Linked DNA regions of Saccharomyces cerevisiae S288C. Changing the gene in region 3 together with the main gene of any one other region gives a genetic interaction. Each region holds a gene or a part of one and is shown on either strand. Other genes may lie near its edges. The genes, in order: DFG16, IZH3 and SOV1.

Region 1 (3,761 bases), on a different chromosome or scaffold from region 3:
GAAATCCCCTCCCGCATTGCGTCAGAGCTTATCGATGTAAAGTTAATTTCCCTTTTTTTCGGTTGGGCTGGAGCACTTGGTTGCATTACTAACAAATTAACGAACAATAGTTTTAAAAGCAAGTGCCTTAAGATTTAGGTCATTCCTTCGAGGATTTCTGGGAACAATTTAAAGAATAACAGAAACTTTTGCGGCCCTTTTCATCATCTACGTGTTTTGTAAGAATGAGATCACATTCCACGTAGCCCTAAACATTGGCGTACATTTCCACTCGGAACCTTTTCTCGACCCCTCTCCGTACGCCAAGTTTTACCTTGAGGAGTAAGTCGTCAAAGGGGCGTGGGGCAGCCATTTCTTAGGAGGTGGGAAGACATGGCAGTGAGTGGGCCCTATGATTGCTGCTGCAGGGGACTTTTCAGGATAATCATGTAAACGATAAAACGGAAAAACAAAACTACGGACGTTGTTACCTTTCCATTTTGAAATGTTTCTCCGAAAAAATACCATTTTGCACAGTTCAACATTCTTGATGGCAAAAGCGAAGCATTGCGTCAACGGGTTAGATAAGTCATTTACTGTCAATTAGTACCAATACCTGTCTTTGCTCACCGAATGGCACTATACAGTGACGTTAAGATCTTGTAGTTGTTTTTCAAGAAGGCACTAAATAAGGTAATATATGGTGCCTTTCGCAATGACTCGTGTATCTGGCAGATCTATAGCTGCACACCTGATTTTTTTGCTATATTTGAATCAGGAGTAAGTTTGAACCATAATCATTCCAATTCAGTTTGATAGTACCTTTTTTTTAAAATTTTTGAAAGAGCTATCGCTTAGCTATCGGCGGGCATATTGAATTGCGCAGTAGATGAACATTTCACTAGTTGTGGCCAAAGAAGTTAGTTAAAAAGTGTAAATATGTCACAGTACTTATCCTTCTCTAAAGAATTAGTTTATTAAAAGCAGCAACAAGAAGAATGACTGTCAACCATTTTTAGGTCATTGCAACAAATCTCAAAATACGCTTTTATAGATAATCTAAGAAGATCGTTATATGGGAATACTAACAGTGAGAAAATGGAAGAAACGGGTTAGCGTAGAAAATTGTAATTAAAAAACAACAGTTTTAAGAAGGTGGTGGGCAATTAATACTTGAGGATTAATACTTAGAGCTTATTCAAAAAGAAAAGATAGAATTTCATGTAATACATGAGAACAATGTAAGGTTTTTAAGGTAACGAGTAACTAAGTTTTGAAATATCTTCACTAGCCTTGCAATCATCTTTTAGCTTTTCTATTTGCCGGATTCTTTACAACATAATCACGCTTTCTTCTAGTTGTAATTTTCCTTCTAGATGTCATTATTTCAACCGATGTCATTAATATCCTTTTATGGTGTTTACAAAAAGAAAGTTTCAAGTACCGCTCACCTACACTACGTTGTAATTCTTAGATACATAACTTTAGTTTTGTCGCCTATGTGCACAGATAAACAAAACAACCTATAAAATTTCCGTTGGGCCCTTTTGTCCCTGATTTCTGGTGTGTAACCCATTTATTTCTGTCCTGTAATAATTCGTCTTCGGTGATTGCCATATATACACAGTTTAGCTTTACTAACTATAAACATCCGAGAAGAAGAAAAAAGAAGGTCTGATTTCTATCAAACAACATGTGAAGATAACACAATCGATGTGATTGATATCAGATTTACTAGCCCCGTTGGATTGAAAAATCTGCAAGGAAGGGCTAAAGAGCAATATACTTTCTTTTGTTGTTTCGGGGTGATGAGAAAATTGTAACTTTTTTTTTTAACTTGGCGAGAAAATTGACTGGAAGAAGTGTCAAAGATAAGGCTTCTATCATATTCAAAACAAGTACCACCAAATGGCAGCTCAACTCCGAAGGCTCAAAAACAATACTTATTGATATTGCACTCACAAGCATTTTTTGTTGCGGAACGTCTTTACGTGCAAGATTAATGATCATAAGATTGCATTTTTACTACCTCCTCACTTTAGTTTACCATTTAGGACTTGTAGGTGCGTATGAAAAAGCAGCAAGAAAGAGAATTCAACCTCCCGATTTGATACCTGGTCCTCCGGGACATAAACTTGGTGATGAAAGACCACCGCATTACGACCACCGGCCACCTTATAAAAAACACATCGACAACATTCCAGCTTACAATCTGACTGATTTGATAGATGATAAACTACTAAATAAATATGAAAACTCATGCACGGTAAATGTATTGACAGGTGGCTTCATCTCTCTAGCAAGTAATTCGTGGCACTTACGTGCTTATAATTACACTTTAAATTACCCATCCTTTTTGATCCGATGCGATAATGGCAGTGCAAATCCTAATTTCTCTCATGTCTTACAAGACTTTGTTTATGACATCAACAACAAATTCAACGTTCAAGATGACAGTAGTAAATACATCGGAAAAGACCCATTTCCCTTAGGAATGATAATGATCACCTTTGCTTCTGGGTGTATCTGTGTGGCAACATGGATGCTATTTTTGGTTGTCTTATTACTGCCATCCGATAATCATAATAGAAGAAATAAAGTTGTACATGTTTACGTCCTTTTCTCTGCGATTATAAGAACTGTATTTCTAAACGAGACTATAGCCGTCATATTTGACAGCCAATATCACGATGACTACCAGGATGCGAGCCAATTTGAATCGTTCATCGTAGAAACTGCACCATATAAAATATGTGAATTAGTTGCAAATATTTTGAGTGATATAAACTGGATTTATATTGTTCACTACTTACAGTCCAATTATGGAAAACCAACTTGGAATTGGATCCCATTTAAAATGAAAAAGGGGACACATATCATAATTACCGTGGGTTGCTTCCTCTCACTAGCCGATAACATTTTATTCGCAAACCTTCTTTGGAGAAAGAACCTTGTAGTTTTGAAGGTATTTTACAAGCTAATCGAATTACTGATTTACACAATTTTCATCTCCATTATTTGTTACTTCACATGGCATAATTTTGCTTACATACTTTTACCGAAAACTGCTGAAATTAATACGGACGGTAAGTGTAAAACGAAATTGAGAATTCTTTGGGAAAATTATCACGAAACTATACCATTATTGGCGTATAATATTCTTATATTTATTTTATTCTATTTCACCACAATTTTTTTCGCTGCTTTCACCAAACATGTTAGAGGTTGGACATTTAACTTTGTTCATCTTTTGAAAGTTTTAATAACAGTGAACGTTTGGGGCTTAATTGGAGTATTGGAAAAGAGGGAGCTGCACATAAGCAAAAAAACAGTCCTTGGACGAAAAATTAACAATAGGGACAAATTTTTCGCCAATCCAACAGTCAATTATTACGGAGAAGATTTAGGCAAGCATTTAAGCGCCATAACGTTAAACAGGGATTTAAACACTACTAAAAGTAACACTACTTCCCACGATTCATCAAGTTTAGTAGGATCCCCTTCACCCACCTGGAAATCTCCAATCGAAAGAATAAGGGACAGAAGAAGAAGACATAAGATAATGAAAAGTGAGAATAAATTTGGGCAAAATCCCAGTTTTGGAAGTAAATCGAATGGCAAACCTAATACTAAAACGACATTATCCAAATATCGACAGCTATTAAGGAAGCCTAGGCGAAAAACCAATTCATATGAACCAAAAAATGGCATTGGACAGAATAAAGAAGGCTCAACTGTTAGACCAGGAGCCGACAAACATATTAGAGATTCCAATTATCTAG
Region 2 (3,761 bases), on a different chromosome or scaffold from region 3:
CATGAACATTATTATATATACAAGGCACTGAGCAGAACAATACACGCTAAGTTTTGTTCTTTCATGAGGTCATAATAAGTTAAATAACAGTCAATACATAAATGCAAAACTAAAAGTACACAGTTTTATTATTTTCTTTTCGTCGTAATGTAGTTTTTATAATCAGTCAACTTTTTTTTTGCTTTTAGATTTCGTTTGTTCCTTTTGTCTTTGGATCCAAAGTTTCTTGAAAATGTAGCCAAAACAATGCCAGCAGGAATATCGAAAAAGATGGGTATAATATAAGTAAAAAAAAAATTTTAACAATGAAATAATACAGGAGAATTCGTGGTTTACAATTTCTGGTTTTTTTCGAAATTGCTATGTGGCTTCTCCAACAATGTAATTGTAGGCTTTTCTTTCTTTTAAGTCCGTTTATCGTATACAGAAAAAGTGCAGGATGTTGTAAGTAAAGGTAGTCAGTCATACCATCATGACAAAATCCACCTCTTGGCAAACATATCTAAAATAGCTCTATAATGGCCGATGACACCCAACACTACGAAGAAATGCCAAAAAGTGTGCGAACAACCAAAATAGTCAACCCACCATAGAGATTTAAATGATTTGGCATGAGACGGACAGGAACTGCATTTGGAATGGGCTGTTGGCACCTCTCTAAAATGAATTTCCCTTTGCTTTGTGATGATTTCTAAATCAGTAGATAATTCGTAGTTTGTTGGAATGGTCTTATCAACCTGAACGTCAGATCTGAACCGTTCAGGAATGAACGAACCGTAAAATACCACACCAACCAAATACCAAACAACAGATTTGTATGTGACGGGGCTAAATAGCGTTGCAGCATAATGAAGATCAGTCAAAAATATCAAATGTAAAAACGACAATACACCCATAGTAGCCAGCAAAATGAAGAATCTAATTCTTAATGGCCTTGCTTCAGGTCTATCAAAGCGAGGCGACCAATTCATAAACACACCAAATACACCCAGCGCCAGAGAAATACTCATGTAAGTGTACATCGCCCAGTAACATGAATACATGGTAACAAACTCCGTTGTCAATATCGAAGCTGTAATTAAGATCGTAATACCGCTATAGTCGACACACGCAAATTTAGAACGTAGCTTCAAGAAGGACGTTCCGTTGAAAGTATGCCAAAACACGGAGCTTAGCATACATTTCAACGCAGCTGCCAAAAACATGAAAACAATCCATCTAGCCTGTGGTGGAACCTGGGAATTCCGCCAAACTTCAGACTGAGGGAAATCGTAAATTGCCAAGTAGATTATATAAATGGCTCCTAACAAATGAGACCAAATATTTGAAGTTTCATTATGCCAGCCGTACCAGTTAAAGATAGACAACAAAGATTTGGAATGGGTATTGTAAAACCTATAGCCATGGATTATGTATCTGTTTTCCCTCCATGGGAATGGCAACTGATAATAATGTAAATGTTGAGTTTCACCTAGACTATACGCTTTGCCATGGTTGTATGAGTTTATAAAAGACTTGATATCGGTAGTAGGATTCAAAGGTTCTTCAATGAGGATTTCCGTCTTTACCATGGATTTTCTCATTGGACCGCAATAGTCTTTCACGCTGGAAATATAATTGTTTTCCTCTTTGATTTTTGTATCATTGAGACGACTTGTTGGGGAACGTAACGAGGACTTCGCTTGAGAACATACAGTTGAAGATGAAGACACCAGTGAAGTGGATGTAGAAGCATTGTTAAGCTTGAAAGTAGCGACTGAATTCACCAAAGTGGCTGCATCTGAATCTCCCAGTGAAAACTGAGATTCTGTATTCAGAGACTTGCCACTGTTTCTTTTGTACACAGAACTTGTTACTTCCTTTTCTTTTGTTGGACGAATTATCTCCAAATCATCATACCGCCCACTTTCAGAGTGTTTAACACTTTCATCAATAGTTGAAAATGGATGAGGAACGAATTTTGAGTAGTTGTAATTATAGATGGATTTACCGGATTTTTTCACCTTCTGAAAATTGTCCACACCCTTCTGCTTTAGCCTTGATAGAGATCCCATGGGTGAGGGTATATACTGAGTTAAGCTTTTGCTTGACGAGTCCATCATGTACTTAATTTGATTGTCTGTTGGGATGTGAACTATTTTTCAGCTTATCTGCGTTGCAGCTTCTTCTTTGTCCACTTTACAATGGCTAAACTTTACCAGACGACAAAACAAGTGTAGAATTTGAATCAACTGTGTCCTAAAGAAAAAATAATGTCCAAAAACTCTTATTATAAAACGAGTAAACCACCACTTCGCTCGAATCGCCAAGCTTTCTAGATGTACACCCACGCTGTGTCACCTTATGACTATATACCTTATCCATCAACACTTTCTCCATTTCCTGCAGGGTAAAAAGAAAAGTGAAGTCACCCTGCACTATACGAGCTTCAGCCCATACCCCACACTAAAACATTTCTTTTTCTGCGGCATTTCTTTTTTTTTCGGTCCGTCCCTGTCCCTTCCCACGAGAAAGCGTAATGATCCTCGACCCTACCCCACTTCCCCACGCCAATTAAAACAGATAAAATTTCTTTTGATTTTTCGGATACGCTAATTTCGTAGCAATTTTGAATGACTAGACATTTGTTGGATAACTACATAGTCTCCCACCCACCAAGATCTGCACTGCCGTCCGTTAGTCGGAACACTATGTGCGGAATCATGTTGCCAAAAACAATCTCATTCGCTAGATTCGCGTATCTCGCCCGATTCAAATAGACGGGAGTACCGAATTTGTAGTCTTCGTTGGTCTCTCCGTATTTACTTAGATAAGGTGCAGCATAAAATGTACCTCTTTTGCCGTATGACAGATATATCGCATTTGTGCCGGTCATTAAGAAAACTCCGTAAGCGGAGGTGATTTCGCATCCATTTCTCATATGATCAGTACATTCCCCCTGTAAATAACCTTGCAGTGCTATGCTTTTTTGAATATGGCATTTTTGGCCACACAACAAGCATACTGCGATTTCGTATTTATCACATTTATTCGATATTTCATCATTATCAAGGGAAAATTTGGAAAGGTTCAATGGTAGTTCGATAAGCTGGATATGCTCTGGTGAAGGATATGCTCTTGTGTTTATGTTCTGCACCATGTCATATATTACTTGCTGAATTCTCAAATTATCATTACCATCATTATACCTTTCTATATTTTGTGTTAGTTCGTTGTAGAAAAAATCCTTCAAAAAGTGAGTTAAATTGGGTAATTTAAAATACCGGAAAATAAGCTCTATTTCACGCTGTTTGACGTCCATGAAATTATTGCTGCGGTTATTATTATTATCACCATCACCATCATCATCATACTGAATGTTGAATAATAAGAAGGTTCTTCTACAAAAAATGGACAATGACTCTAGTAATAGAGAGCATATAAAGTCTTTAATTTTCTCTAAACTTGTAAAATCAAACCGAACGTCGTCTGGTTTAAAGAGATCAACATACTTTTTAAAAGTATTGAATAGATATGAAAAGCTTGTCGATGGTTCCTCAGATCCGTTTGATGATATTTTGATTTTATTTCGACAGTCTTTGTAAAAGTTTACTCTCATCATATCTCTTGCAAGCAACAGTAGTAGTTGATGGAACCTTCTTTTGAACATTTCATAGATACATAGGTTAGGCGGTTGCGGGGTTTTTCCTCCATCAATATTATCAAAATTTTGACTCATATACAAAAGTAGATTCACATTATTACCCTTTATTAGAAACTCA
Region 3 (3,761 bases):
CAACATGTGTTAAAGACGCACTAAAATTATTTTTGCCACAATGTATTGCAAATGGACTTGAATCCATTGACGCTGAAACAAGGGTAGAAACGGCCATTAAACTTTCAATATGCGAGTTTCAGGCATCTGGCTTGGGCGAAATACCAGAAAATTGCATGGTTGACGACCTAGGATCAATGATGGATTGTATGTTTGAACTAGAATCATCTTCACAGTGGTGGACAACTTATAGTGGAAATTATCAGCGACTATCGAGTATTTGTTATGAAAATCTTCTTCCTTTTGAAAAAGAACAGATACTGAAACTTTTTCTAAATATCACTGAACTTTATGATTCATTTGGGGATGATGTCGATACTAAGTTAAATCATCTGATGTTTCAAATGGAGCAAGATTCTCAAAATTTTTTGGACGATCTGGCCAGGATGTTCCGCAACTATGACAATGAACTGCGAAATGCGACCGAAAGCAATCGAATAATCTTAGAAAACGACCTCTCATTTTTTAGAAATAAAGTGAATGATGTACTCTATGAAACTTCCGAACAACTAGAGGTCCAAATCATAGAGAAGAACAGTCAACTAATGAATGAAGTTGATACCGTCCATCATATTATGAGCGATCTAGCCGATGAGCTTGCTAAAAATGACATAAAATCTAAGATAAATGACTTGAAGGACGACAGCCTGAATAATTTACAGGACCTAGTGGAAATGTCCAACGACGTAAAAGAATATTACTCTAGAAATAACAAGTTAGTTAATACCGAGTTGGAAAACTTCTCGATGGGTTTAAAAAAACAGTTAGGAGGCATGTCAAAGGATCTTTCTGAATCACAAATGGAAGCTATAGAGCTCTTGCAAGGGTTCAATTCCATCCTTCATGATTCATTGTTACCATCCATGACGGATGAGATAGTACCTGAGATGACGAACTTCAAAAATACCTTACTACAAGAATGGACAGCTATAACATCTACACTAAATGGAGATTTTGCTTTATGGAATGAGGAGATTTTTTCAACTTTTAATGATATTTCAGAGAAACTGAATGGCACAAAAAAAAAATTAGACGACATTGAAATCAGAGTCTCACTTGTCCATAAAAATGTCATGACAATGATGAGGGTATTGGATTTTATGTGGAAAACTAGTAAAATGATTATAAGATGTGGGTACCTTGCAGTCAAGAATAAATACTACTGGTTACTGTGCTCCGTTGTGTGGATTTGGTCAAAATACCGTACGTCTCGAGTAAACGTCAAAATGATTCCTATTAAACGCTATTACCAATGGGCAGCTCTTCTACTTTCAATTTATCTAGGAGCTAAGACTGGCTCATTGATTGATTTTTAACATTACCGATGTAACAATATATGAAAGCCTATATATACATAGATGTATAGGTATATAGCCGCATTCAAAGTCTAGCAAAATAAATATTCTTTAAAAATTCAAGGACACCGGATCATGGTGGCCATAATACGGGCAAGTGAACCTAGAGAAGGTGTCCTACGTCACTATCCAAGTTAATTTGCTTAAGAGAGTTCGAGTGCAGCACCTACAGCTTTATCATTGAAGACGAAGCAAAAAGATCTTGAGATTCTATATCATGGGCACAGGTAGTATTCATTAGGTAGTAGTAACGTATTAAACAAGGCCATACTATATTTATAACTCATGTTCAAATACAACCGCTCACTCTGTAGCAGCGCTTTGATAGCAAAGTCTCAGATTCGTTTTTATAGATTGAAGCGGGCGCCATTGAATTATGCCTCCCATATACCTGAAGTTCTTAATAAGACCATCATAGGGCCAGACGAACCAGAAAAATGTCTCATTTTGAAAGGAAAAACATCAGAGGAAATCGAAAATAATCTTCTCAGTAATAAGAAATTTCAGGAGATCAATCCTCTTGATACTATCCAGGAAACGTTCATTCAATATCTGAAATTTTGTAATGAAACTAACTTTAAAAGAAGTAACAAGAATTTAAACAGATTAAAAAAAACCTTAGAAAGCAAGGACTCTAATAGCACCGTAAAAATTAATGCAGTTTTCAATTATTTGCTCGAAGAGTGTGATTTAGAAATCAAAAGATTGAACACGACCGGCCAAACCCAGGTATACAATGAAGAGAAAGGAAATGAAGATGACTTAGAGCAATCCATAATGAACGATATTTTCCGATCAGCACAAGAACAATTTGAAGATCAAGAGGGCCATATACCGTTAAGGAGTACATCATTTTTACTGGAGATTTTGAAAAGTTTTAATGAACGGTTTAATGGCATAATCAAACCGAAAGAGTCAATAACAGAAATGGTCACATTCAGCCAACTTGCTCAAGCTTTTGAAGTTGTTAAATTGATACCAGTGCAAGAAATGAAGGAGAAAGGGATTTACTTGGTCGGAAATTTACTTTATGGCACAGGGAAAGTTCGTTTAGATCCTATAAATGAGTCATTCTATATTGAATCCCTACTAGTTTTTGGAAACTATAAGGCTGCATACAGTTTATTTATTACCAATAAAGACAAAGTAAACGAGCGCTGGTGGAATGAACTAGGATTAATGATCACATTAAGGTCTAACCACTTGAGAAACTTCAGGAAACTTTTAGCCGAGACAGATGCAAAGTACTCAACAAAGTATTCTTATTTGAGCCCAAGAGTTACCAAATTGAGCATACGAAAATATTTGTCGATTGGCAATGTTACTGAAGCTAATATACTGACTGATCGATTTATTAAGTTAGTGGAAGAAGTTGGAATAATCAGAATGAAAGATGAGCAGGAGGAACTTCCCACGGGAGTTAAAAATTTTCAGAATGAGAAACATGCAACTGAGTTCTTAAATGAACTAGAAATACCATCGGATCATGATTATATCAGCATTGTTGATTTCCATCTTTATAAGAGAAATATTCCCATGGCGGCTCAACTTATCAGCAAGTACATGGAAATACCTGGAACGACACAAGAAGATGCCGCATTTCTACTTGTTAAAACCAAGCTAAATATGTTGAAAGATTTTGAAAAGCTACGAAACATTTTTGCTCAAAATAAAGATTATGTAGTGCCTGAGAATAATGTGAAAATGTTGCAAGAGGCATTTGAGAGCGTTATTACTAAGTATAACACTAATTCTCCAATATACAATGAATTGCTGTTTGAGAATGTTTCGGCCTTAACAAAAAGTATTGTATTAACTGATTTTCTGGAAGAGTTCATTACTAAACAGGCTTCTGGACAGTGGATGGAATTAAACAGTGTGTCACGTTCCAGAAAGTTTAATGGCTTGTTGAACATACTTCTCGGTACAGGTGAAGAAGAAAAAGCATATAATATCTTAAAAAAACTAGAAGAAGCCTCAAAGAAATCAAAAACAGATCCAGATTTACTCTATAATCAGTTTTATTCGGAAGTTAATGCATATCATTACGCTAAATTTGTTGAATTTTATAGTCTTCAAATTCAAAATATGAAGGCACAAAATACGCCCTCATTTAGAAAAAAGGAATTTAAGCAGAAAGTGAAGTCACTTTTAAAAAGAATGCAGGAGTCAGAGGTTATCCCAAATGCTGTTTTTTTGAGAGAAATACTCAATTTTTATGATAGCATGTATGACTTTAATTCAAGTTTTGAGATCATCAATCCGCTACTTGAATCCAAACAACAGGTGAGCTCTGAGTCTTCATTATCCACCTCAAACCCTTGCCGATTTTACAACCGTCGCATCATAACAAAACCGCTGTACCAC

The links.
Region 1: mutations in SOV1 (region 3) and DFG16 impair growth when combined (synthetic growth defect), as found in Saccharomyces cerevisiae (one study listed by BioGRID).
Region 2: mutations in SOV1 (region 3) and IZH3 impair growth when combined (synthetic growth defect), as found in Saccharomyces cerevisiae (one study listed by BioGRID).

The regions. Positions count from the first base shown.
Region 1 is NC_001147.6:384,844-388,604, forward strand, and holds the start of DFG16 (Dfg16p), read left to right. Parts: upstream 1-1,981; coding exon 1,982-3,761. Other genes in the region: YOR029W (uncharacterized protein), read left to right, coding at 1-92. UniProt on the Saccharomyces cerevisiae protein: Involved in invasion during filamentous growth.
Region 2 is NC_001144.5:185,028-188,788, forward strand, and holds IZH3 (Izh3p), read right to left. Parts: upstream 2,103-3,761; coding exon 471-2,102; downstream 1-470. Other genes in the region: putative ubiquitin-protein ligase UBR2, read right to left, coding at 2,636-3,761. UniProt on the Saccharomyces cerevisiae protein: ADIPOR-like receptor involved in zinc metabolism either by altering membrane sterol content or by directly altering cellular zinc levels.
Region 3 is NC_001145.3:399,862-403,622, forward strand, and holds the start of SOV1 (Sov1p), read left to right. Parts: upstream 1-1,679; coding exon 1,680-3,761. Other genes in the region: KAR5 (Kar5p), read left to right, coding at 1-1,355.